Linked DNA regions of Nothobranchius furzeri. The main gene of each other region encodes a partner of the protein of the gene in region 5 in a complex. Links are inferred from orthologs where the notes say so. Each region holds a gene or a part of one and is shown on either strand. Other genes may lie near its edges.

Region 1 (3,786 bases), on a different chromosome or scaffold from region 5:
TAATGAACTGAATTGGTGACAAATGGCAGGCCTGGCAGTGTCCAACTTACTGCCGGCATCGTGGCCCAAGCTCTGGCAGCGGTCATAGAGAGACAAAATTGTTTCCAAGAGATGGTTCAGAATTGACTGAATGTGTTACGAATATAGTTTTATGGAAAGAGGAGACGCTAGTTTGTATCTTTAAGGCTCTAATTAAAAACCTGTTATAAATCATTCACTCCAAAATGTAGATCAGCTTGAGAAAGATGTCCGAAAGTTTTTGACCTCAAAACAAAAAGTACCAGTTGAGAAAAGAAAAGCTCAAGTATCTTCACCAGCAGGAGTTGTGAGGGACAGCCCTGAGAGAAACGCAGTCCTCTAAAGAGCTGAAGCTACAGTTTCCTCCTGTGATGGAGAGATTTTTGTCTGCTGGATTGAGAGAAGAGGATTATACGTTTTTTATAGAACCACGTTGTTGAGCCAGATTAGATCCTGGTTCTGATCATTTAAATGACAAAAACTGTTTGTAAAAAACATTTTATTAGGAAAGTTCAGAAGCTGAGTGAGAAGGTTCTGTAGGACAGGTTGGTGAACACGTCAATGTGGCTGCTGCTACCTCCCACCGTCAGCACCTGAAACACAAACACCTTCACCAGGTGCTCCTCACACCGGTTAGGAACCTGCTGTGCTACGTTCAGGGACTCACCCGGTGCTCTGAGCTGTTGTTCAGCTGCAGAGTGTTGAGACTTGAGGGTGTGCATGGGATCTGAGCTTTGACATCTCCACCCAGAAGACAATGAGACACAAATGCACCCTGCCCCACTGCCAGGATCTACACAACAGACACAGACATATTGTTGTTTGTCCTCCACTCTGAGTGAAGTGGGCCATTGTGTCTCACCATGTCCTGGTGGAAAGCTGCCTGGCGCTGGCAGCCGCTCAGGGGAAACACGGATGTTGGGGACAGAGAGCGGAGGTGCCACAGAGACATTGACGGACCTCCTCCACACACCTGCAGGGACACAAAAACAACTCATGTGTGTAAAACTGTCCTCCCAGGTGAGACCTGCAGCTGTTAATGCGCGGTACCACACAGTCCTGATCAGCTGAAGCTGCTGTTTTCTTACCATCCAGTCAGAGTCTGTGGTCACACAGCTGATCCATTTACCGTACTGAGGCCGTACGCAGCTCTGAAACACACACACACACACACACACACACACACACACACTCAGCATATTCTCACAATGTGGTGATCCTTGCTGACTGGCATGTAGCTCTCACCTCGTACTTGTAGACTTCAATGCAGTGAACGCACTGGCCCGTCCTGGTGTCTGAACAACAACAACATCATCACCATCACCTGCTGAGGAAGGCCTACCCAGCTGCTGTAACTCACCCCACATCCTCACAGATCCATCCTCGCTGCCGGACAGAAGCTCGGACTCCCGCTCACGCACACACACACAGTGCACATAGTCTGTGTGACCCTGAAGGGCTGTCTGCACACATAGGCCAGACATGTTTGTGTGAGGTTAGTTTAGTGGCGATTTTCCTGAGGGTTTTAAATCCTTGGGTCCCTGCTGCACTCAAGTGATATCTTGTACGCAGGCAAAAAAAAGTCCAATGTCCAAACAATCTTAACTGATGAATATTTTTGGTGTTTATTCATCCAACTTGTCAAGTATGATGCACATCTTCATTTCCTGCCGCTTCTCCTGCTCTGGTAAAAAAAACTATAGGCCTACCCCAGTGCATGCTGGTCTAACACCAGTCCCCATATTTATTGTTCCTGGCTGATTCTCACAGGCAAAACTAAAATAAATAAATTAAATCATCATTAACCAACAACTAAACCCAATAAATAACCCAACAACTGTAAGTACAGTGATCCCTCGCTACTTTGCGGTTCGTTTATTGCGGATTCACGACTTCGCGGATTTTTTCTTTGGAGACTTATTCAAGGGAAATTCGCCGATTCGCGGTATTTTTCTATGCGAAATATCAAGAAATTCCTGTTTTTTTTCATCATAAAATGCACTTTTTGTAATAAAACTATAAAAAAAACAAGTAAAAAAAATTTTTTTTCTTGAGTTTTACCCACAAAAAGAGAATGTGATCATACGATAATTCAATATAGTACTGTATATCAGACTGGTCGGCTGGATTCGGGAGTTGAGCTTGTAGGGAGCGTGGTTTCACAGACACGGAAGAGATAGCGTCGGTGAAACGCCGGCTCACGATTAATCTAGGAAACCCCCGAGCGTTCGAGCATCAACGAAGTGACAAGGAAATGCCGGGCTTTCCAGAAGTAAGTAAGATAACTTACTATGAGCTGATAGTTCGTGGGATGGATCAGTAGGTTGGAAACTCTGATCATGAATATGAAGAAACGATGACTGAGTGGTGAGCTGGAAAGGCGACTTCCGATTATAGCCGCGGTTTGTGACGTAGATGCGACGTGGAGGGAATCCCCGCGAGGGGCATGCTGGGAGTTTTGGTCCATAGTGGAGGCCGGCTAGCTGGAAGAGGCTGGCCTGGGAACTTGGGTTCTGACACTGTACTGTAAATATGGTGTCCCTACTTCGCAGATTTTCACCTATCGTGGCCAGGTCTGGAACGCATCTACCGCGATAAACGAGGGATCACTGTAACCCAAATAGCGCCAACAGTTAGTTTAGGCAAAGTAAAATGATTTCTGTGACGTCGGGAGTTTCCTTTAGCATTGATGCTGTTTCATTAGTCAAAGACAATAAGCAGAGAAGCTGATGCACCTTAAAGTCTCCATGTTCCAGGTCCAGGATGTGGACGTTGTTGTCTCCAGCTCCAATCACCAGACTGTTGTCCTGAAACACACACAGGCCAGATGTTTCCATATCAGATCCTCTTCAGTCAGTTCTTAAACTCTGTTTTGTTGAGCAGGTGTGTGTGTGTGTGTGTGTGTGTGTGCGCGCGCGCACTCACTCACTTGGGTGTTGATGACCATGGAGTTAATCTCTGGGATCTCCAGACTTGATCTGCCAAAAGACCAGAAGAGGCATTAGTACGTGACCTTCAGGTTGGACGGGAGGCAGGAGAGATGTCCTCACCTATAGTTGGGCCTCTTCGTCCAAAGACATTTCACATTCTGAGGACATCAAGTTCACAACATTTCACAAGTGAAGCTGTGCTGCTGTACAGGTTATCTACCAGATGTAGCGTTACCTTCTTGATGAGTTCAGTCCAGCTCCAGGCACTGATCTCTCCATTTCCAGCACTCAGCAGGACACAGTCTGTGGACAGAAGACTGAAAACTGCACCTTCATGAGCTGCAGCAAAAGAGACAAAAACTCAAATCAGATGAAGATTAAAGGACCTCAAATCAAAAACACACCTAACACTAGTTTGGATTTGTTAGAAACTGTCTCATTTAATCTGAAACCACCTAAAAATTAAAGTAAAAAGTAGAAGGATGGCATTCATGCTTTTCACATTAAAACACGGCTGAACACACCAGAAGTCTAAGAATAAAATGTCTTAATAGGCTGAGGAGGCTTTTAATTTGAAGTTTTAGCATTTCACAATGTGGAATGTGTGCCTTTTTCTGTTGAAAAATTAAGTTTTAGTATTAAAATTAATAGTTTAACATCATAAAAAGTCTTGCTGAGAATGAGTGAGTGATTAAAAATTCATTTTATGGAAAAAAAAAAAACATTAAGCTGCAGTGCAACATTTAAAACTTAAAAATAAGTAAACTGTAAAGTCTGACAGGAGCTTTAAATGCTTATTGGACACAGGTAAACGAAACACCACAGCCTGTGGCGGTTT
Region 2 (3,941 bases), on a different chromosome or scaffold from region 5:
TGTGTTTCTAATTATTACAGACGTGTTTCTAATTATAACAGACGTGTTTCTAATTATAACAGACGTATTTCTAATTATTACAGACGTGTTTCTAATTATTACAGATGTGTTTCTAATTATTACAGACGTGTTTCTAATTATTACAGACGTGTTTCTAATTATAACAGACGTGTTTCTAATTATAACAGACGTATTTCTAATTATAACAGACGTGTTTCTAATTATAACAGACGTATTTCTAATTATTACAGACGTGTTTCTAATTATTACAGATGTGTTTCTAATTATAACAGACGTATTTCTAATTATTACAGATGTGTTTCTAATTATTACAGACGTGTTTCTAATTATAACAGACGTGTTTCTAATTATAACAGACGTATTTCTAATTATTACAGACGTGTTTCTAATTATTACAGATGTGTTTCTAATTATTACAGATGTGTTTCTAATTATTACAGACGTGTTTCTAATTATAACAGACGTGTTTCTAATTATAACAGACGTATTTCTAATTATAACAGACGTGTTTCTAATTATAACAGACGTATTTCTAATTATTACAGACGTGTTTCTAATTATTACAGATGTGTTTCTAATTATAACAGACGTATTTCTAATTATTACAGATGTGTTTCTAATTATTACAGACGTGTTTCTAATTATAACAGACGTGTTTCTAATTATAACAGACGTATTTCTAATTATTACAGACGTGTTTCTAATTATTACAGATGTGTTTCTAATTATTACAGACGTGTTTCTAATTATTACAGACGTGTTTCTAATTATTACAGACGTGTTTCTAATTATTACAGACGTGTTTCTAATTATTACAGACGTGTTTCTAATTATTACAGACGTGTTTCTAATTATTACAGACGTGTTTCTAATTATTACAGACGTGTTTCTAATTATAACAGACGTATTTCTAATTATTACAGATGTGTTTCTAATTATTACAGACGTGTTTCTAATTATTACAGATGTGTTTCTAATTATTACAGATGTGTTTCTAATTATTACAGACGAGTTTCTAATTATTACAGACGAGTTTCTAATTATTACAGACGTGTTTCTAATTATAACAGATGTGTTTCTAATTATTACAGATGTGTTTCTAATTATTACAGATGTGTTTCTAATTATTACAGATGTGTTTCTAATTATTACAGATGTGTTTCTAATTATTACAGACGTGTTTCTAATTATTACAGACGTGTTTCTAATTATTACAGATGTGTTTCTAATTATTACAGACGTGTTTCTAATTATTACAGACGTGTTTCTAATTAAAGCAGATGTGCTTCTAATTATTACAGACTTTACAAAACCACCCTGCTTAAAATACACACAACAATGTCAATAAAACAAGAGACTGTTAATGTCATCTTTTAGGGACAAGCATAATAATGCAGTCACTAAAATGAATGGTAGTCAATGTCAGATCTCCACATGAGTAGCAATGCAAATGTGTGTGTGTGTGTGCGAGAGTGAATGACTGAGTGAGTGAGTGTGTGTGAGTAAGTGAGTGTGAGTGAGTGTGTGTGTGAGTGTGTGCTCTTGTACACACCACCTACTGAGGACCATTTGTACCATTTTCCCTACAAAGTGAGGACATTTTTCTGGTCCTAATTTTTTTTAGAAGCTTACCAGTTGGTTTTAGAGGTATGGTGTGAATTAAGTTTTAGTTAGGGTTAGGAATAGATCAGCATTGGTAATGGTTATACAGTCACAGAAATGAATGGAAGATGTGTGTGTGTGTGTGTGTGTGTGTGTGTGTGTGTGTGTGTGTGTGTGTGTGTGTGTGTGTGTGTGTGTGAATAAAGAGAAGTGAACTGAAAGTACCTTCACCGTGCTCATCTAGGTATGCTTGGAGTCGGGCGATGAGCTCTCCTTTGTTCCCTTTGGTCTCCAGACCTCGAGCATCACACTCCTGCCTCAGTTCAGCAAGCTGCGTCATGAGAAGAAGGGGAAGGAAAACATGTTAAATCATTTAAAATGTAAGTAAAGTAGTCTAGTCAGCAGCCTCTTTAGGATCATTGGCAAATGTCAACATTTGAGTTGCAGCCGTTTGTAAACAGGCTTGTTTTGTGTGCGTAGAAATGGACGCTGTACAAAACAAATGATGAACCTGGTTTAAAACAGAGCAGCTTCTGGATCTGCTAACCCTGTTTATATGCCAGAAGGGTTTGCGGTTTTACTGGATGATGAGAACAGAAATGCTTTAAAATGTATCATTTCAGTGACTATTTTATTCTATAAAAGTACTGGATTTTATTTTTCCAAATCAAGATTTTTGTTTTTATTAGATAATTTGCTCCACCAGATGATCTGTAAAATCTAACAGCGTGAGAAATATTTGATAGTTACCTGACCCTACTGAACACTGGTTGATTTAATCATGCCATCATTTATTTTATTTTTCGTTAATCTAGTCATATCTTGATAAAATCATATGTTGGACCGTCCCATGTTGCAAAGCTACATGTTTCGGCGCGCTAGCAGCGGTAGCTCCTCGGACACACGACGCCGGCTTTCAGCCTTCACACACAGACGAGACGATTTAACCTCTAATCCCATTTACCCTGAACCCACTACGTCATTCTGTAATAAACAGAAATCAACACCCATCCGTCACTTATAAAGGTGTGAAATCAAACTAAAATCGTAATTTTAGGTCGCTACCAACCTTCAGTTTATGCAGTTCCACCACTTCCGCCATCTTTCTTTGTTGACGTAAGTCTTCCTCCAATCAAAAGACTAGCTCCTCTCATTCTGAGCTCCACCACTTGCGCGCTGTCTTCTCACACTGCCCCCTGCTGGACACTGACCTTTTGCAGGTAAAATTCTTCGAGCTTTATACGTTTACACAGGGGATGAACAGTGAATTTAAAGTTGTAGCTGGACTTATGCCATGACAATGGACTATAGAACGTTATTTCTGTAGATAAGAATGTAAACATTGTTTTCCTAAAAAATAAAAATACAGCTCAGTGTTGTTGATTCATGTACATTACTTGGTTCTTTTTTTTAACACAGCAACAGTTGTTTTTACCTTGTTGATGACATTTTGACAAACACTGTAGTGTTGTTAGTGTGAATGTGTCTGTGATTGGGTGACTGATTGTGTTGTAAAGCTCCTTGGGGGGTTCCAGGACTCTAGAATGTGCTATATCAATTACAGGCCATTTACCATCTTCCTCGGAGAAAATACCCAAGTAAGTTCTTTGGATGAAATACACAAAATGAACAAAACATTATAAAAAATTAAAGTTCAAAGTGTTTCTTAGATGAAGGTTGATTTAGGTAAAGCCCAGACTGACTGGTTATCATGATTCATGCATGAAATTAATAAATTATCTTTCCCTTTGTCTTACTGGACCACTGCTGACAGCGGGAGACAGAGATGTTCTTGTTGCTAGGCAACACCGTTTTCTTGTTCCTCTGATGGCTCACAAGAGACAAAGAGAGAAAGATGGACATTTACTGGGATTTTAAAACAAGTGACGTTTAAGGCCATTTCATTTACTGTTATTTAAACGTATTTGAGTACACTTTCCCTTTGGTCAACAACACTTTGACTCATTTAAATGATTTATGTCAGAGAACAAGTTGACACGATTAAAGCTTTTTTATCACAGGAATGAGAATCATTGGTGTTACAGAGCTCTCATGACAGCGAGGAATATAGAACAAATCACCTTTCTATTTACACAGATGTCCATTTACACATAAGCCACACAAGCAGATGCCAGTGTGCCAGTCAAAAATATGCTAAATCGCTTCATAATGTTTAACTGTACTGAAGAACCTGACACGTGTGACCTGCAGTCATGCTTCTTTACATAGGGGATATAAAAGTCTACTGCTGAATGTGCTGCTCAGTGCTCTTGTATTATGCAGCCAGTTGGGTTGTCCATGATGGATGTCAGCTTGGA
Region 3 (3,657 bases), on a different chromosome or scaffold from region 5:
TAAACCCTAGAAATGGTTGTGGGTGAAAATCCCAGTAACTGAGCAGATTGTGAAATACTCAGACCGACCCGTCTGGCACCAAAAACCATGCCACGCTCAGAATTGCTTAAACCACTTTTCTTTCCTATTCTGACCTTCAGTTAAGAGTTCAGGAGATTATCTTGACCAGGACCACACCCCTAAATGCACTGAAGCAACTGCCATGGGATTGGTTGATTAGATAATTGCATTAAGTTAAACAGGTGTTCCTAATAATCCTTTAGGTATGTGCGCACACACACATGGTTCACAGGATGTAGTATAGAGAAGTTTGTAGGTCTTAGGTTTGAACGTCCAACCTTCTAACTGGTGACGTTTTCCCAGTGAGACACAGCCATGGAAACCATGTCCCTGTGGGCACCAATCGCAGAACAAAAGCTAAGATCACACCAGGACATCTGCTTTTCTACATGCTCCAGAACACCTACAGGCCTTAAATGTTTGACATGAATCAGAAAATATCTCATTCATCATTTTATTTCCTTAACACAACTTGGGAAATAATTTTAAAACAAACATCTTGTCAGCTTCACGGAATACAAACAACCCAAAGCCTGAGCACTTCTTTCCCTGTCAAATATAAGAGAAAATGACTCGTCTTAAAATTCTTGTAAAATTATCATTTTAAAAAACGTTTCCACTGCAAGTTTAAGATGAGCCAAAGAAACTCTGGAGGTTTGAGGAAAAACTAAGAAAAACTAAACAGTTTACACCAAACACCTGTTTGACTAAAACTTCATACAGGAAGTCCGTGGACATCAGGGTCAAAGTCCCCTTGAGTTTATTCATCAGCTGATTGGCTCTTCAGCAGCAGGTGGATGCACGGCTAAACAACAGGGTGCAGCAACACCACTTGACGCTACGCCCCAGTCTTCAGCTCTGGTCTCGCTGGGCCGTCACTCCATGCTGTCGGGATCTGCCTGGGCCATGTAGGCATCCAGTTCTGCATCCAAGTGTCCCTTGGTCTTTGACATGTACGCATCCAACTGATTGTCCAGTTGTTCCCTTGTAACGGTGGGCCGGCCAAGTCCTCTGCCCCGCCCACGGCCGCGGCCCCCACGACCAGCAAATCCCCCACGTCCACGAAGTCCACCACGGCCTGAAGACAGAACATCATCAGTGAGACAGTGAAAAAAAAAAAGACACGAGTCATCAAACGATTGTACTAATAAATACAAACTCTACCCCGGCCTCTGGGCATTCCACCTCGACCTCCTCCTCGAGACAGAACTCCTCCTCTTCCTGCCACTCCTCCACGATGCCGACCTCCTCTACGCATGGGGAAGCGTCCGATGCCCCCCCGACCTCTCATAGGTCCACCTGTAGGCATTCGCCTGGCTGTTTAACACAATGTGATTGCTCAGCTGAGAGGAAACACCCCTACCATCTCCACGCTGACGGACACCTACCCCTCAGAGAAGACAGACCCCCACGAATGATCCCTCCTCTCAAACCCCCTCTGAGGCCTCCTCTGGTCATCCCCCGCATGCCTCCTCTTCCTCCAGGAGGTCCACCCCGCATCAGAGGCCCAATGGGCCGGCCCAGCCGGGCCTGGATGTTGCCTTTCCCCAGACGTTGCTTTAGGCTCTGGTGGTTCAGAAGGATCGGTCACAGCAACAAATCAGGAACACAAATAAAGCGAAGCAAGAGTAGGTCCAGCTTGTTATCCCAGCTTTCCATCAGACGCGCGAGCGTCACAAAATGTCCACAAAGCGTAGTACGTAGCACTTAGCTTCTATTATATTTACCTGTAAAACCTCTGTGACTGAGGTAAACAGTAAGTACACCACAGACCTGCTAGGATACCGTTACCATCTTTCTCCATGCTTGTTATCACGTGAACCGCTGAAATCATGCTTGATCTAGCGTTTTCCTGTGATTTTGTAACGTTGTGGGTCCAGCTGTGACACATTCACTGCCGCTTCATGTCAGAAAATCTCCCGGTGAGACGATATGCACCGCTGAGCTCGTGAGGAACCGCGTCACTTATGCATCCAGTGGAAAGCTCAGGTTAAGCCGGGTGTACACTGTGCGACTTTTTCACTTTTTTGAGCCGATTTTCCACTCGTGCGAGAATCCACGAGATCGGGGCGAGTTTTGCGCTGAGCGTCGTGTACAGGGGGCTACGAGAGGCGATTAACACCACGTGACCAGCTACCGATCAGCAATCGTGAGCTCGCACAGACTTCTGGCGTGTTTAATATTTTGCTCGTCCCTCGTGAGGGTATCGCACTGTTGAAGCGGCGCTGCGAGCAGCTGCGACCCAAAAAGTACCAGAACCGCTCACGGCACATGCATGCATCAACACCGCTCGCCCGCTATTTCCCTAATAACACACGTTGTTCGTTTTTATTTTCTACACTTTTTTTACTCACAAAGGTTGTCAAGAAAGCGTGTTTGTCGTGTTCATGTCAAATTAAACTGATCACAAAACACAGATTTACTTTCTTTATTTTGTTTTCCTCATCCAACCCCCATAAATCCCTGTGTGTCCCCCTGCAGCACTCCCGAAGGACAACAGGCAAAACAAGACAAAAAAGTCTGACGTGTTGTGTAAAAACTGCTATTTTTAGCACATTTTTAGGGCCGACGTGTTGCTACCAGACGTACAGCGTGAGCAGTCAGATCGCATCCGAGAACTGGGTCGTGCAGTGTGAGCGCACGACTCGTGAGATCTGCTCTGTGAGGAAGTCGTACAGTTTGAGCTGAAGCTGAGTGCTACGAGTGAAAAAGTCGCACAGTGTCCGCCCGGCTTAAGGGTACAACAAGACTATTTGGACATCTCACCCCTGATTGGCTAACAGCAACACAACTCTACCACTAACCTTGTTTGATTTGCATCATTGATGTTTTACCTCCATAAATGAATGAGTTCTACTGTATAGAGTAGCAGCTAATGCTAACAGTTAGCTTCTATTAGCCAAGGCAAGCTCTAGTCTCTCCTGAATGCTAAACCAACAACTGCCTTCCCCATCTTGAGCCAAGATGGCCGAGTCCATGAATGTTAACTTACTGTGAGGTAGATCTGACTGGCTTTGCTAACCTGAGAATTTCCTCGTCTGTTTTCTATCGGCTAATGCAGGAAAAAGGGGTAGAAGACTATTCACATATTCAGCCTGCATGTGAAACTCAGAGTGACCAATCATTTAAAAAAATAACACATAAAAATGGTTTCTCAGTGAACTTGTTCTTTAAACCTTTTATCAGCTATAAAGCAGCTCGTTTCGATTTGATCGTTGTCTCACTCCCATTTCTTTTTTGTTGCACATTGAAGCTCTACTTGGGACCTTGTTAATGACCAACCAAACAAACACGACGTTTGGCCATTTTCAAATGGTCTTAAACTTTTGATCAGGACTGTACTTCCCAAACAGCAAATGCATCTTCTGTCAGGCTTGGGTTTGGTTTCAATGATAATTCACTGATAAAACCAGAACAGAATCTTTCTGACTTGAGAACCCATCAGACCTTTGCTAACTTGTGCCCTTTTCCCTACTGAACACAGCTTTAAGCCTGATTTATGCTTCTCCGTCTGCGTCAGTGCGGAGACACGCAACGCCATTATCCGTCCTTGCGTAGGGATCCGGCAGGCACGCAAGTCCGTACGGAGTCGAGCCC
Region 4 (3,947 bases), on a different chromosome or scaffold from region 5:
ATATTTTAAAATTTTCTTGAGCCAGTGTGTGCTAAAACAACCCTGTACAGGGTTAATGAAATGTCACTCAGACCCCGACCACCCTCTATGGCCAGAATGTCGCACTTGCAACTTCAGAGTTGGACTTGTGGAGCTGACATGCCTGGTGCTGCAGTCTGCTTCCTGCATGTTTTAGATCATAAACACTGCTGGTTTGGTCAATTTAGTGATGAGCTGCTCCTGTAGAAATTAAGGAAGGATGGGGAGACATTATTATGGATTAAGGTGTTTAAAAAGGTGAATGCACAGTTTCACTTTTGGTTTTACTAACAGAACACTAGGGGCTGCTAAAAGCAACCCAAAACTGGTTAGTTGTGCAAAAAAAAAAAAAAAAAAAAGCAAAAGTTTAGAAATCTAAGGGGTCAGTAGCCATCACCAGTTCTGTGTAACTGCTTAAAGAGCAAGTCACCCCCTACCAGAGTATTACTCCGCTCCCACTTCCTGTTTGAAAAATGCAACAAATTCTGTTGCCTAGCAGACCAAGAGGGCGGGCCCGCTAACAAATACACACACACACAACGACATTGTGACATCATATGCTACCAGCTAACGTTCTAGGGTACCCCTTTGCCAATAACGATGGCAGATTTAAATTCAAATGCAGTGCAGAGTTTTTACCTGACAACGGCACAACACTCACAGTTTTAGGCAGAAAATTTAAATTTTAACTTAAATGCACAAAAGTGCAAAACTACACGTGTCTGCAGCACGGTTAGATACGCATTTATATAGTTTATCAGAAAAAAGTTGATCTGGGAGTGTCTTGCTCTTTAAACACTTAACTATATTATTTTAAAATCCTTGACTTTGTGAAAGTTTCTTTTAAGAATTGATGATTGATGTGGTTTAGTTTTTCCCGGTTATTTCTTCAGTTTACAGTTTTAGTTTCGATCAAATGTTATATGTCATATTTGTCAAAAAAATATTTATTTATTTGTTCTGTATTTTACCACATCTGTGTAGAACTTTTGCACAATTCGCACATTTTCCTGTCAAGGTTTCTTTTAGATACATGCTCCGCCCGGTTCCGCCTCATCGTCGACAGTAGAGGGGATCACGTTCACGTACTCACGTCAGGCTTACGTAGAGAACGTCGTGTTCTACTACTTGTGTTTAGCAGCTGCTACAAGAATCAGACACCGTTGAGCCTTGAAAGGGACAGGGAGAGGGACCGACCGTGTCTAGGGTGTAACATTCTTAATTTGTTCAAAGTTTAGCGTTATTGGGGCAGCAAAATGACCGATAAGATGGATATGTCTTTAGACGACATTATCAAACAGAGCAGGCAGCAGAGAGGTGGAGGCCGGGGAGGAAGAGGCCGTGGCCGCGGAGGCACAGGCAGCGGCCGGGGTGGAGGCGCTGGGCGACTCGGAGGCGGCGGCGGAGGCTTTGGAGGCCGAGGCGGTGGATCCGGCCCCATGAGGAATCGACAGAACCTGAGTCGCGCTAGAGGCAGACCTACGCCTTACAGCAGGGTATGAGAATGTTAGAGGAATAAGCAGAGAAATGTTTTCATATTGTGTCCCTTCTCCCGCAACCCAAATGTGTAACGCACGTCGAGCTTCAACAGCCTACGGAAGGAGTGGAGGCCCTCAGCGCCATTTTGAATCCAGCCCCGCATTGTGAAGCTAGTCGTCAGTGAGTGCTCAGTGAGAGGTATCCTGGCCACGGTGGTGAAAGAAACCCACTTCGTCAAGAGTATCACTCGAAAGTGTGTTTTCACTGCTTGTCGGAGCGGGATATGTGCTCAAGTTCCCGCCAGCGCAGCGACCAGGCGGCCTTTTGTTCGGGGAGTGGGTTCTCAAGCCCTCTGGTGGCTTTTTCTACCAGTTTGCCTGTTACTTGTGGATGGAAAAGCGGACTTTTACTCCTCTGTTAGTGCCCAAACAAAACCGGTTCTTCGTCTTTTAAAGTGTGATCGAGTTGGTAGCGAAGCCAAACAAAGCCCCAGTCAAAATGGCGTGGTTTCAAAATGGACGCTCACGCAGAGGGGAGATCTGGCCATTTTCACTCCTCATCCAGCACACGGACTCTTCCCCTACTGAGAACTGTTCTGAGGTCCAGGACACAAAGTACCAGCGCTGGAGACGCCGCTGCATCGAACAGGAGTCCCCGAGTGTCCCGAGGAGCTGGCTTTTCTGGAGGGAGGCGCAGATGGCGAGAACAATGGGCATCTCTGGTAGCTAGTCTGAGGAGTTTTACAGGTTTAGCATCAAGTCTGTGGGTTTGGGTTTAAGAAATATCTGTGATGGTAATACTTAGGTTTCTGGAAAGGCTCGTTAGTCTATTCTAGGGTTTATTTCACTAGAAACCCAGAACAGGACTGTTGAGTTTTGTTTTTATGGTTTTGTTTTTAATCCATTTACTACATCAAACTTGGATCTAAAGAATACATTTTTATTTTAAGTGGGCTTTAATGGGACCATTTTTCTTTAGACAGTTGATTAGAGTGATTGAAACAAGTGGCTCCCAGATCTTTTAACTTCTGATTTACAAGATCTGTGATTAAAAACCTTCATTATTCATGACGGACACGTACAAATAGCCAATAAGACAATTACATTAGGACAGGAAGATGACTCCATCCACTTTCACCAAGACTAAACGCTTGTCAGTTGGTCTGTTTAGATGTTTTCTCTTCATATATGTCAATTATTTTTAAATTTGATAATCTCAACATTGGTGTCCTGTCCTAACTTTGGGAACCAGTGAGTTTGAACTAGGGATGCACCGATACGATACTGGTATCGGCACCGATACCAATACCAGTATCGGTGAAAGTTAACCAATACCAGGAACCGATACCAATGCAGTTGCTTGAAAATGGCTTCACTGTAACTTGTCATTTCTGTTCACCTAATATTTTAGTTTTGTGATGATTTCCATTCATATATTTTACTTTTTATCTACCTCACAGTCTTTTCCTGTTGAAAGCAGAGAAGAAAGTAAAATCTGCATTCCAAATCATTGCATTTTTTTTTTTTTTGTGTGGTAGAAGTATCTGTATTGGTATCGGCGAGTACTAAGATCGGTTTGGAAAAAAGTGGTATCGTTGCATCCCTAGTTTGAGCATGTTTTTACTAACTTAAATCAGTATGGACTTTATTGTGATGTTTGTACACATTCCGATTTAAGATGGCCCAACATTGGTGTGTTAACGTTTAAAAAAGTTCAAAATTTGAATCGAAGCGAGACTACTACAAATCCCCTTGCTTTTGAGTATTTGTGTGCACGTCCCTTTGAGCTGATGCACTTGCTCGTTGTGACGGGGTGGGCAGGGAATACTGGGGACCCCCCCCCCTCTAAAGGGAGCTGAGCACCATGTTGGAAGTGGAGCCCCCTGCTTGCCCCAACAGCCAGCCGTGTGGACTCAGTGATGGGCAGAGGCAAGGGGATCCTGAAGTCAGCAGGTGCGTTCTCTTTCATCTGTTGCAGCCTAAACAGCTCCCAGACAAGTGGCAGCACGACATGTTCGACAACGGCTTCAGTGGCTTCAATGGTGCTGCTGGGGGTGGCGGGGGAGCTGGTGTGGAAACTGGAGGGAAGCTCCTCGTCTCCAATCTCGACTTCGGTGTTTCCGATGCAGACATTCAGGTACTCCAAAATCCGCGCTTCACTGGTTGGTTGTGTTTTATGGCTTGTTGCTGTCTTAGACTAATCTTGGATGTACTTTTTCAAGGAACTTTTTGCGGAATTCGGAACTCTGAAGAAAGCTGCAGTTCATTACGACCGGTCGGGAAGAAGCTTAGGAACAGCAGATGTCCACTTTGAAAGGAGAGCTGACGCTCTAAAGGCCATGAAACAGTACAACGGCATCCCACTGGATGGTACGCTTCAGACCTTGTTTACATTTTTCTGGTTTGACATGACTAAATAATTCAAACTTTCTTGAGTGTTCAACCCCCTTT
Region 5 (2,781 bases):
CCTCTGCTGGCAACTAAAGGAATCTGATGACAGATTATAGGGAGATCTGCATTGCAGGCATAACGCTACCTCAAGTGGGAGGGTGGGGGCGAGGTGAGGGAGAAACTAGCAGCATCGTAGGTCTGCAGCACCTACAGAATCTTGTAAGCATTTTCTCTCAAAAGCACTCTCTCCCTTTTACTGACGTTTGTTCCTACATCCTTTTCTAACTCTGGCCAGCTGCAGAAGCCTCTTTTAGTGCAGGAAAAGCAAAATGTGAGCTGTGTGGCTGTGAGTGAGTGACAGTGTGTCTCTGAGTTCGCCTTTACTGCAGAGTGTCGTGCTTGAAAGGTAACCATCAGCGTTCTTTGTGCTCCCTGGGTGCTGCCAGCTCCTGTTCTGACCACACCCAGTTGCTGCTTTCTGACTCACTGCAGCGTAAAACAAGAAACCCAGGAGGGCTATCACTGGAAGGATTCATAAAAAAGACCCCTACACTGCAGCGGCTTGGTTAATCAGCACATATTTTTCTCTGGTCTCCACAGACGGCAGCGTTCTTCATCTCTACTTCTTCTACCTCATGAATCTGAACATCATGACAGTCAAGACTAAAGTCTCCACCACCACAGATCTCAGCTCAGCCATCAGTGCAGGGTGTGTGTAGACAGAGCAATTGGACATGTCCTTAATGAGCTCCCAAAGGTCTAATGATGACTTCTTTTTTCAGGGAGCTTCTGAAGTCAGACACCCTCCTCAGCTGCTTGTACACTAATGACCAGGGAAGAGAAACTCCCAATCCAGCCAATCGCTACCAGTTTGATAAAGTTGGGTAAGTGTGTCAAGCAATCAGAAGCAGTATGAGTGTGTGTCCTGGGTCACACAGTTAAATTTCTCTTTAGGATCGTTTCATTTGCTGATTATGTGGAGGACCTGGGATATCCCTACATGTGGGTCCAGAATCTCGGAGGATTGCATTTTCCTAGTGAATCTTCAGAGGTGTGTTACAGCATCTAGAAGTATCCCAGCAGAGCAAAGTTCAAAATGTAAAACATTATTTTTGTTTCCCTGTGCCAGGGTGTGCTTGTGGGCAGTTCCCTGAGCGCCAGCCACATGGAGAGCACCATGAAGCTGCTGAGGGGGCGAGTCCAGTCCCGCTTGGCTCTGCAAAAACAGTTTGCCTCGTTAGGTGTGACAACTACCAGTCCGATACTTCCGATTGATAATAATTGTAGAGGAAACTGACTGTGTTCCTGCCCTCAGAACACAACATTATCCCAGTCTCCAGTGAGTGTCAGCATCTGTTTCCAGCCAAGATCATCTCTCGTTTAGCACGTTGGACCACCATCAGTCACCAGGAGTACATGGTAGAGTTTAAGTCTTTCATAGTTTATTTGAAACAAATATTTTGATGCTTTTCTTTTGTTTATTTGTTGAATGAGTGTGTTATTGCTCTTGTTTTGAAGGATCTGCCGTATACCCGTCATGTAACTGAGGCTGGACTAGCCAAGGAGACAGACCTGTTCTTTATGGGAGTCCTAGAAAGAGGCACGGGTATGTCCAATCACTGAGAGCAGAACTGGCTCTTGTTTATTTGTTTTTTCTCCAATAAACAAACACCACGCTTGTCCTTCTCTCAGCTCGTCTCCATGCTGCAGTGGTTCTGAGTCCTCGTTACCCAGCAATAGCTCCTCTCTTCTCCCTGAGTCTAAACTGGAAAGGAGAGTGCAGCGGACGCACTGATGACAACCTCAGAGTATGAAAATCCAGAGTTTTAATGTTTTTCACAGGGCTTTTTGAAAGCTGTGCCTCCTATAATTATAGAATATACATGACCTGTCTTTAGGCCATGGAGAGTGAAGTCAACATTTTCAAACACGAGCTGCAGGGACCACGGCCGGGACATCAGCTGCTGACCAATCAGATCGCACGGATGTGCGTCTGCCTGGATGTGTATTTGGAGACTGAAGGACAAGATGTCAGCGTAGAGGGACCTCGTGAGTTCCCCCGAGAAAAAATGTGCCTGCGCACTGTCAGGTATGCAGTTATTATTGTGTTGTTTTTGTGTGTGTGTTTATTTTACAAACGAGATAAAAGACGCTGACTAGATTAACCTGTTCTGTCTCCATGCAGGGGGCCAAGTCGTCTGAAGCCATTCAAGTACAACCATCCTCAGGGTTTCTTCAGCCACCGTTAATCGTCTCTACACTTGTCATCACGTTGTCTTTGTGACGTTTTCATACACAAAGTCCTCTTTTTAAACATTTTGAAAATAAAAGAACATCTTAGTGTTTTCTGGAACAAATGTTTTTTGTCTCTGGCTCTTGTGCACGTAGGCTCACTCTGTATTTTTGTGTTTCATCACTTTTCTGTCCTCTTAACTTCTTTTGTACTGTTCTATTTATAGCTTTTTTAGTCAGAGATATCTGATTATTATTCAGTTGTGGATCCCTGCTGGAGCAAGCTGAGTCATTTCCACAGAGGCCTGTGGAAGGCAACATTTTGCTTAATGTGTGCAGCTGACCTTTGACCTCTCAGGCTTTAGCAGCGTGTTCTTATTGGAAATATGGATACGTTATTTTAGCACTTGTATCATAGCGGGTTTTGGTTTAGCATCACAAGTTAAGCTCGATATCACGCTTCAGAGTTATTAAATTATAGATGATTCTATGTAATTACACTGAGAGTGTCTATATTTAGCAACCCCAGTGGCAAAGATTATAATTTGATTCATTAGATCGTTTTTTCTTGATTTTCTAACTTCCACTTTTGGTGTTTTGCGCTGCAGCAGCTGCTTAAAGCTGA
Region 6 (4,169 bases), on a different chromosome or scaffold from region 5:
ATACCAAAAAGACACCCGTAACTGAAGCTGCGCCCTATAACACAGTGCGCCCTATAGTCGTGAAAATACGGTACTTCATTTGGATCCTACCTCAGAATATTGATGCAGCCACTGCCGTTTGTGAGGAAGAACATGTCATTGTCGTTGTTCCAGGAGATCTCGTTCACCTCGAACTTGAACTGCTCCTCCGCCCTGGAGCGATGCGTCTTGGCGTCGATGAAAGTCACCACATCGTCTTTGTTCCCAACAGCAATGGTCTGACCGTCGGGACTCCAGCAGATGTTGATGTTCTCTCCTAAAGTCAAAATAAACAATAAAAAAAAAACACATTATTTTTGAACAACATAATTTCAACTGCTAGAATAAGACAAAAACATTTAATTTCTCTATTTCTAGTACAAATGACGACCCATGGTATCAAAGTACTTTAATGAGAGGCTGACCGACATGTTTTTTAAGGCTGTTGCTGATACAGATTTTTAAAGGATTTTGTTGCCAATGGCTGATATCTAAAGCCAATTATTAAAGCTAATATATAAATGTTTTAGCAGCACATTGATTGTGAAAGACAACTGAACACTCACTGTGTGCAGCATAAAGTAAATGAATCTCTTAATTATTTATTGAAGTTGTAATATAAAACAAACTCAAAACATTAAAAAACGGTGTGTTGGGGTCCTTTGAGTCCTATCTTCATCCTAGTAATAGGGGCAGTTGGCCTGATTTTATTGTATTTTTTTATCAGCTTTTATAAATAATTTCGGCCGATGGCTGATATAGAAAAAGTTTAATATATCAGTCGGCCTCTAAATGTCATCACCCAAAATAAACTGGAAAACATTTAATTTTTTCGGTTTCAGTTTCTGGCTCCAAGCTATTTTCTCAAACTGTATTTTAAAACTAGTTCAAGTAAAGCTTTTCCTCCTCATATTTTTCTTTAAAACAATAAGACGGCCTAAATGTTGCAGCTGTTTAAGTTTTTAACCAGAGCTCAGCATGTTTGGGTTTTGTGTAAATCTGCAGAAATTAATACTAGACAGAATATTTTTGTTTGACGTGTTTTTTTCTTCTTCCATCTGATCAAAAAACCTGTTGAGATTGGTTGGGTTTGCACAAGCTGGGTTGATAAACGATTACTGAGGAAATAAGAAAATATCAGACAATGCATTGTTCCAGTCAATTATTTACCCAGCCGCCTTTCATTATGTAGTTACATGTTAAAAGATGTACATTTGTACTTTAAAATAACTTTGTAGTTAAAAAACAACAATTACAGGGAAAACTAGTCCTGATGTCTGTGGATCCTTTTGTAACACATTAATAAATATTACTGCCCCCCCCCCCCCCCCCCCAAACTACAAAAACAAAAAGCTGTAAGCTTCACCCTAAACTGTTCAAAAGTGAGAGGAAAAGCAACAGCAGAAATATAGAACCCAGACCAGTGCTGGTTGAAGATGTGACCGTCTATCTGTTCAAAGCACTGCTGGGTCAGATTTCAGCTCCAACAGGTGTGATCACCCTACCTTTCGTGTTGACTGTGGCGATGCATTTAGTGGTGCGTACATCCCATATGCGAATGGTTTTATCTCCAGATGCTGTGACAAAAAGGTCAGGGTTGGTTGGATGCCAGCACAGCTGATCCACACTATCACTGTGTCCTCTGTAGTTGTTTTCTTTCACCTGGTGGGAAAAAAATCTAACTGAATAAACTCAGTTACTTTGTTAAAATGTTTTGTTTAAAATGCAGATTCAGTCTTGCATCTTTTATGCATGAAGTTTAGTTTTATAACTTTGTCCTGAACATATTTAGCCACATTAAGCAGGATATAAAAAAACGCTATAGAAGTCATCAGTAGTTGTATTTAACTCAATGGCAATGTGCCAAAGGGTGACAGTCTTCTAATGCAGCCTGAATCTCATTCTCCTGGTTTCTTACAGCGAAGAGGCATTTCATATTAAAATGACTTAACTCAGTAAACCCATTCCGTTTATTAAACGACCAGTTATCTACTCTGTTGTAACTGTTAATGATGGGATTAGACCGGTGTGGAAAACAGTTAAAATTCTAATGTTAGCCGTAGCAAATACACACAGCAGCTAGCTTTGTCTTTGGTGATGCAGGCTAGACGCCCAAGAGGCTGCCACAAACACACTAAACAACACGACCAGACTGAATACAGTAACCCCCATTACACCCAGAAAAATGCGCGCGGAACCGCAGAAGAACATCATCCACTGTCTCGAACACGTCTACCTACCAAAAAACACGGAGACAGCTACCGGGTAGCAACCACAGAACTCCTCCTTCCAAGAACAACACCTGAATCGCGACTGTCCACCCTTCAACGAATCTCACAATAGGGTCGCCCAGTGTCCCCCGCAACGCAGGAGATCCGACTGCGAAGCGACTCTCCGGCTTATTTTGAGCCACAAAATAATCACAAGTCACAACCCAACGCACCATGACGGTAGCCAGCAGGTCACGCCAAGACCCAGAGCGCCGTCATTGCTGGCGCGCTACATCATTGAAACAACCGGAACTCACCAAACGGTCCTTTTCCAGGACAAACACGCTGGCAGTTTTATCAAACGAACCGGAAGCCAGTCTCCTGCCGTCACAGCTCCAGGCCACCGAGTGAACTTTCGCTGAATGAGCCTGGAACTCCCGACTTTTATTGTTGTTTTTGAAGTTGTCCTGCATCTCCCGGTAGTACTGAGACGCCATCTTGGATTGAGAACTCGATGTTGAAGCTGAGTGGAGAGCGCGCGAGCGACGCCTGTTGACTCGGATGTGTTTAGTTAGAATGTATGGAAAGCAAAGCAAACAGGGTCGTAATTCCAAGAGGACCTGGCTGCAGAACAATGGCGACTTGAGCTCACCTTCAATAGCAAGAAGCAGCGCTTGTTGCGAGGAAACAACGGAGTACGGCTATGTTCCAATTGACGTCCTCATCCTCCTGTACTCGGTAGAACAGACTTTTGTGTCCTTGCCAACAACATACTTGACTAGTACACAAGAACATACTAGCATACCTGAGTACTGATAAACGGCCAATGTTTTTCCTGTATTCAAACTGGAATGCTTAATTTCGGCAGATGATTGTTTTTTACTTTAAATTGTACGGAACAAAACACTTTGAAACATTGATATAATGACCCTCAAAACAACAATAAACAGTAATAACATTATCTTAGTTATTTAAACCTGATGGCTATTAGAACAGACTTTTTATCTATGCTTATTCTGGGCCTTGAGAGTTTTCTAATTGGTTATGATTAAAAAGCCTTAAAGACCTAAAAATTTGAAAAATAAAATGTAATTAATTAGGTGTTGTTTTTCTTAAAGAGCAAGTCACCCCCTGCCAGACTCCTCCACCCCCACTTCATGTATGAAAAATGCAACAAATGCTGTTGCCTGGCAGACCAAAAGGGCGGAGACGACAACTAGACACACACATCCGCTGTGTCTCAATTCAGGGTCTGCATCCTTCGAAAGACCCAGCCTACTCGGCCGACTTGGGCTGGGTCCTCCGTCGGCTGAGTAGACCGGATGTTAACGGCTGTGAATTTGGACAAGCCTAGACTTCATGAATTCCAGCCACTCCCTCACGAACATTCTGTCGCCTAGCAACCGTGGAACCGCTGAGCAGAAGGGAGAAGGAAGGAGCTCGAAATTTTATTTAGCTTTTTAATAATTTCCTTGACTGTTGGAGAGCTAATTCAGAGAAAATACTTTCGACAAGCTGAGCCTGAGCAAAGATGTGATAATAGTTTTTAATACTTTTTAAGGGTCTTAATTTGACCAAAACCGATTTATCACCTTTTAAGACTTTTCAAGACCCAGCGGATACCCTTTAATATTAAACAATTCACATTTGTAAACAAAAATAAAATTCAAGTGTTTAATACAGAACTGATTTTATTTAGATGTTTCTTTTATATGTACATGTTTAATCTTTCTTAACCATTTTTTCTATCAAAGTAAAAAGCCTGTAAAAGTTCTCTCTTCTCTCCTGTGCCCTCTGCTGCTCTGCAGCCTCATGTCCTCCCTGATCAGCTCCAGAAGCTGGTCATCGCTGTCACCTTCCCCTGGATGCCCATTTTCTCCAGAATAGTCTTAACAAACATGTAAGAAAAAAAAACAGGAAGAGAAAAGATATAGAAAAGAG
Region 7 (3,613 bases), on a different chromosome or scaffold from region 5:
TGGTTCGGTTAAAACAATTTACAGGGGTTTGCAACAAAGTACATAGTGATCATTCACATAGGAAGTCAGAGGCTTTCTTTCATTGTGGTTTATTTACTACATCAGTAAATTTTGGCATTCATTTTTAAATAAATGAGCAAAACCATAATTCTTGTTACAGACGTCTTATTCTCAGAAGAATGTAATTTTGTGAACTTTAAATCAGAAACTATTTGATAGTTTGGTATGAAAAAATGATAATTTAGTATGAAAAAAATGATAATTGGGTTTAATGACACTTAGATTTTACAAGTATTCAAACTCTCACTTATAGTGCAGAAACTTCCAGAGAAAATACAGCACATATGAATGTTCAACAACTGTTCTGTCCTTGACTGACGCGTATTAAATTTCTTTTCTGATCAGAGTTTCAGTTGATTTTCTTAAAAGCCTGGAAGCTTTGGTTACATTTTTACTGAGATTATTTTAATGAAAAGAGAATATAAGAATTAAAGATATACTCCAAGATGACAGCTTTATTCAAAAATACATACAAAAAAGGATTCTTAGACAAACTAAATTTCAATTAAAAGCTGTGACTCCTTCAGTTGGGCTCTTTATGTGTTCAATCCCCATTCTCCATGGGACTCTCCTGACTGTGGTCGTCACTATCTGACTTTTCATCATCTAGGAAAGACAGGATAGACGATGAGGGCAGCTCTGACAACAGTTTGTCTGTATAACCAAGTGGCTACTTACTTTCTAGTGTCTGCTGCAGCTCCTGAATGGTAGTAAGAAGAACATGAAACTGCTTCTTCCTCAACTCCAACTAAAGAGAATGCAAACATGGCATAAAAAGTCAGTAAAAATACAACTAAATCTGATACTTTAACAACATTAGGCCGCTGTGTTTGAGTTTACCTTTGCATCTACGTTCTCTTTGATGTGAGACAGTTGCTGGAGTTCTTTATCGAGTGCCTCCAACTGCCTGGAAGGTAAAACAAAAATGAGCACTTTATTGAACATGAAGGGGAGCTTGACATGTTTTATCGATAGGCTGACTTACTGGAGTGTTTCATGTCTGTCTGGGTGTTGCTGGATTACCTTTGCTAAAGCATCATATTCTTTGGAGAGACAGAGAACAGATACTTAAAAAAAAGTTTACATCCTTTTGACAACGCACATTTGATACCACATCTGGTAATTTTTCTGTAAATACAACAGATGTTAAAATGTCCTTACCCTGGCGATTTTTTCGTATTCTCTTGGCACGCAGAATTTCTTTTTTGCATTCTGTGATCTTCTCATGTGCAGATGTGATGTTTTGTTCTGCGAGGTGCGAAAGAAAAAAGTTTGATTAGTGTTAATTGGGCGATGGTGGCACAGGAGTTAAGTGCTCGCCCCATAATCAGAAGGGTGCAGGTTCGAGCCCCGCTCAGTTGTAGCTACGATGTAGCTCATCACCACCAGTGTGTGAATGTGTGTGTAAATGTCTGATTGTGTTGTGTTGTAAAACGCCGTGGGGGGTTCCAGGACTAGAAAGCTCTATAAAATACAGGCCATTTGGCATGTATGACTAAAAGAATTAACAAAAAATTCTGTGACATTGAAAACAAAGCCGATCTTACCTATGTTTGCGTAGATCTTCTCATAATTCTCCATTTCACGAAGATTCATGTCATAAACCATCAACGTCTTTCCCATAGAAAACTCACACTGAGCCAGAGTAGCCACCATCCTCTGGTACTGAGTGAATCTACACACAAAGAGCCCAATGTTCAGCATTTCACTGCAGTTGTGTACTCGGCATTCAAGATGTTACAAGCAAAAACTGGAGACAGATATATTGCTAGCTCGTACCCTTCTTCTAGGGTCCCAGAAGGTGAGTTGCACCACTTGGTGAAGCTCTTCAGCAGCAGATTGATTCGGCGGTCATCTCCAGCTCCGTCACCGTCAATGAGAAGACGTTTTCGAATCACCTCATCTGTGGAACATGCAATAAAGCAGCTGAAGAGCGTTGAAAACATAATGCATCTATGCTAAGTGTGCTAGCTAACGTCGCTATTACAGGTAGCATTTCTGGGTATTTTTCCAGATAATAAGGCGCAATTTACAATGTTTTAAACTTAGACGAAAACAAAAGTAAAGAGTAACTTAAGTGCTGAAATTAGTTAATGATAAAGCCACAAACCATCAGTTACAGCTCCCATGTTGCTGTTTTTCTTCTTCTACTACTTCCGTTCTACTGGTACTGATTGATCTTTTGTCTTTAGGCAACTCAGACACAGCTGAGCTCGTTACTGCCTTATCTGGTAAGAGGACGTTACTGCATGTTGTGATCTTTTCGCTTCATCTTCGTTAAATAATGTGGATTTTAAGTATACAGTGATTACAGTGATTATGTGACACAGAGATTTAGTTTAAATGCAATTTAGTAATACCACTAGGTTTTTTTATCACACAATCAATTACAAATTACACAATCAAGTGATGAAATTGAATTACGGTAGAATACATTTTTCAAAGGCAAAATGAATGCTGTAATCACTTTTTGCTGTGTAAAAAAACGCCTCAATTATGTATGAGCAAAGCCCTGCTCATAAAAACAGCATATGTTGTGTTTGGTGCTGGTTTAGTGGTAGATCAGCATACAATGCTGGTCTAGCAAGATGGTTCAGCATCCAGTCACCAGCTTCCCATACTGGACAGGCATTGTACACATCTTTTAACACAAAACCCTAAACTTTTGCAGCTGTTCAAAAATAAGCACTTTCTTGACATCAAAACGTGTCTTTAAAATTCACAGACATATATGTGAAATATATGGCACATATCAAATAGGATTAGATTAGGATTAGAAAATAGCCTCTCCCTGGGCTGCCACCTTAGCGTGGTGGAGGGGTTTGAGTGCCTCAATGATCCTAGGAGCTAAGTTGTCTGAGGCTTTCTGCCTCTGGTAGGGTCACCCACGGCAAACAGGTCCTAGGTGAGGGATCAGACAAAGAGCAGCCCGAAGACCTCGTATGATGAATTATATAAATGGAAAACGTGTTGCCTCACCCGGACGTGGGTCACCGGGGTCCCCCTCTGGAGCCAGGCCTGGAGGTAGGGCACATTGGTGAGTGCCTGGTGGCTGGGCTTTCACCCACTGAGCCCGGCCGGGCACAGCCCGAAGAGGAAACGTGGGTCCCCCTTCCCATGGGCTCACCACTCGTGGGAGGGGCCAAAGGGGTCGGGTGCAGTGTGTGATGGGTGGTAGTTGAGGGCGGGGACCTTGACGGTCTGATCCTCGGCTACAGAAGCTGGCTCTTGGCACATGGAATGTCACCTCTCTGGTGGGGAAGGAGCCTGAGTTCGTGTGTGAGGTTGAGAGGTTCCAACTAGATATATTCGACTCACCTCAACGCATGGCTCTGGCTCTGGAACCAGTTTCCTTGAGAGGGGTTGGACTTTCTACCACTCTGGAGTTGCTCCCACTGAGAGGCGCCGAGCAGGGGTGCGCATACTAGTTGCCCCCCATCTTGGTGCCTGTACTTTGGAGTTTTCCCCAGTGAATGAGAGGGTAGCCTCCCTCCGCCTATGTGTGGGGGGACGGGTTCCGACTGTGGTCTGTGCTTATGCACCAAACTACAGT

Evidence for each region.
Region 1: the proteins of thoc5 (region 5) and thoc6 are in contact, whole or in part, in a cryo-EM structure (PDB 7APK), measured with the Homo sapiens proteins. The link is inferred for Nothobranchius furzeri from reciprocal best matches to the Homo sapiens genes THOC5 and THOC6. Residues at the interface, in NP_001002877.1 of Homo sapiens: Pro406, Gly407, Asp538, Ile539, Val540, Asp541, Ala542, Gly543, Leu544, Ser575, Ile576, Ser593, Asp596, Arg599, Glu602, Gly603, Asn606, Val607, Tyr609, Arg660, Phe662, Arg663, Gly664, Pro665, Ser666, Arg667; in NP_001334633.1 of Homo sapiens: Val5, Pro6, Ala8, Val9, Pro10, Leu11, Gly12, Gln13, Val16, Phe17, Leu20, Gln21, Leu23, His24, Met25, Thr26, Phe28, Tyr45, Tyr80, Asp94, Glu125, Val126, Pro127, Glu128, Asn130, Gly146, Tyr170, His172, Glu188, Trp222.
Region 2: thoc5 (region 5) and sarnp share a complex: the UniProt entries of both Homo sapiens proteins name them as parts of the transcription/export (TREX) complex. The link is inferred for Nothobranchius furzeri from reciprocal best matches to the Homo sapiens genes THOC5 and SARNP.
Region 3: thoc5 (region 5) and chtopa share a complex: the UniProt entries of both Homo sapiens proteins name them as parts of the transcription/export (TREX) complex. The link is inferred for Nothobranchius furzeri from reciprocal best matches to the Homo sapiens genes THOC5 and CHTOP.
Region 4: thoc5 (region 5) and alyref share a complex: the UniProt entries of both Homo sapiens proteins name them as parts of the transcription/export (TREX) complex. The link is inferred for Nothobranchius furzeri from reciprocal best matches to the Homo sapiens genes THOC5 and ALYREF.
Region 6: thoc5 (region 5) and thoc3 share a complex: the UniProt entries of both Homo sapiens proteins name them as parts of the transcription/export (TREX) complex. The link is inferred for Nothobranchius furzeri from reciprocal best matches to the Homo sapiens genes THOC5 and THOC3.
Region 7: the proteins of thoc5 (region 5) and thoc7 are in contact, whole or in part, in a cryo-EM structure (PDB 7APK), measured with the Homo sapiens proteins. The link is inferred for Nothobranchius furzeri from reciprocal best matches to the Homo sapiens genes THOC5 and THOC7. Residues at the interface, in NP_001002877.1 of Homo sapiens: Pro48, Asp51, Tyr52, Tyr55, Cys59, Leu62, Gln63, Met66, Ala67, Gln70, Phe95, Lys99, Leu101, Asn102, Ala105, His106, Arg108, Leu109, Gly112, Arg113, Gln115, Thr116, Ala119, Lys120, Val123, Tyr126, His127, Leu130, Leu133, Glu136; in NP_079351.2 of Homo sapiens: Ala21, Asp23, Ile27, Leu30, Val31, Phe34, Tyr50, Met53, Leu54, Leu57, Cys60, Glu61, Met64, Gly65, Thr67, Leu68, Val70, Tyr71, Asn74, Met78, Tyr81, Ile84, Tyr85, Ile88, Glu89, Ser91, Ile92, Ala95, His96, Lys98.

Annotation. Positions count from the first base shown.
Region 1 is NC_091745.1:30,130,796-30,134,581, forward strand, and holds the end of thoc6 (THO complex subunit 6 homolog), read right to left. Parts: intron 3,288-3,786; coding exon 3,184-3,287; intron 3,107-3,183; coding exon 3,069-3,106; intron 2,997-3,068; coding exon 2,948-2,996; intron 2,826-2,947; coding exon 2,754-2,825; intron 1,482-2,753; coding exon 1,379-1,481; intron 1,314-1,378; coding exon 1,264-1,313; intron 1,170-1,263; coding exon 1,107-1,169; intron 992-1,106; coding exon 881-991; intron 812-880; coding exon 686-811; intron 612-685; coding exon 531-611; 3' UTR 501-530; downstream 1-500. UniProt on the Homo sapiens protein: Component of the THO subcomplex of the TREX complex which is thought to couple mRNA transcription, processing and nuclear export, and which specifically associates with spliced mRNA and not with unspliced pre-mRNA.
Region 2 is NC_091755.1:36,669,277-36,673,217, reverse strand, and holds the start of sarnp (SAP domain-containing ribonucleoprotein), read right to left. Parts: upstream 2,801-3,941; 5' UTR 2,726-2,800; coding exon 2,693-2,725; intron 1,955-2,692; coding exon 1,849-1,954; intron 1-1,848. UniProt on the Homo sapiens protein: Binds both single-stranded and double-stranded DNA with higher affinity for the single-stranded form. Specifically binds to scaffold/matrix attachment region DNA. Also binds single-stranded RNA. Enhances RNA unwinding activity of DDX39A.
Region 3 is NC_091751.1:23,238,926-23,242,582, forward strand, and holds the end of chtopa (chromatin target of PRMT1a), read right to left. Parts: intron 1,627-3,657; coding exon 1,449-1,626; intron 1,378-1,448; coding exon 1,225-1,377; intron 1,139-1,224; coding exon 936-1,138; 3' UTR 501-935; downstream 1-500. UniProt on the Homo sapiens protein: Plays an important role in the ligand-dependent activation of estrogen receptor target genes. May play a role in the silencing of fetal globin genes.
Region 4 is NC_091752.1:50,607,747-50,611,693, forward strand, and holds the start of alyref (THO complex subunit 4), read left to right. Parts: upstream 1-1,147; 5' UTR 1,148-1,274; coding exon 1,275-1,514; intron 1,515-1,778; exon of another isoform or gene 1,779-2,011; coding exon of another isoform or gene 2,012-2,218; intron 2,219-3,474; coding exon 3,475-3,633; intron 3,634-3,718; coding exon 3,719-3,866; intron 3,867-3,947. UniProt on the Homo sapiens protein: Functions as an mRNA export adapter; component of the transcription/export (TREX) complex which is thought to couple mRNA transcription, processing and nuclear export, and specifically associates with spliced mRNA and not with unspliced pre-mRNA.
Region 5 is NC_091757.1:44,988,790-44,991,570, reverse strand, and holds the end of thoc5 (THO complex subunit 5 homolog), read left to right. Parts: intron 1-524; coding exon 525-633; intron 634-706; coding exon 707-808; intron 809-878; coding exon 879-975; intron 976-1,053; coding exon 1,054-1,165; intron 1,166-1,239; coding exon 1,240-1,343; intron 1,344-1,442; coding exon 1,443-1,530; intron 1,531-1,616; coding exon 1,617-1,732; intron 1,733-1,822; coding exon 1,823-2,013; intron 2,014-2,109; coding exon 2,110-2,173; 3' UTR 2,174-2,281; downstream 2,282-2,781. UniProt on the Homo sapiens protein: Component of the THO subcomplex of the TREX complex which is thought to couple mRNA transcription, processing and nuclear export, and which specifically associates with spliced mRNA and not with unspliced pre-mRNA.
Region 6 is NC_091741.1:68,371,711-68,375,879, reverse strand, and holds the start of thoc3 (THO complex subunit 3), read right to left. Parts: upstream 2,801-4,169; 5' UTR 2,726-2,800; coding exon 2,546-2,725; intron 1,681-2,545; coding exon 1,524-1,680; intron 296-1,523; coding exon 91-295; intron 1-90. UniProt on the Homo sapiens protein: Component of the THO subcomplex of the TREX complex which is thought to couple mRNA transcription, processing and nuclear export, and which specifically associates with spliced mRNA and not with unspliced pre-mRNA.
Region 7 is NC_091743.1:56,272,747-56,276,359, forward strand, and holds thoc7 (THO complex subunit 7 homolog), read right to left. Parts: upstream 2,277-3,613; 5' UTR 2,190-2,276; coding exon 2,171-2,189; intron 1,964-2,170; coding exon 1,840-1,963; intron 1,736-1,839; coding exon 1,608-1,735; exon of another isoform or gene 1,309-1,607; coding exon 1,222-1,308; exon of another isoform or gene 1,104-1,221; coding exon 1,046-1,103; exon of another isoform or gene 968-1,045; coding exon 901-967; exon of another isoform or gene 809-900; coding exon 739-808; exon of another isoform or gene 667-738; coding exon 605-666; 3' UTR 501-604; downstream 1-500. UniProt on the Homo sapiens protein: Component of the THO subcomplex of the TREX complex which is thought to couple mRNA transcription, processing and nuclear export, and which specifically associates with spliced mRNA and not with unspliced pre-mRNA.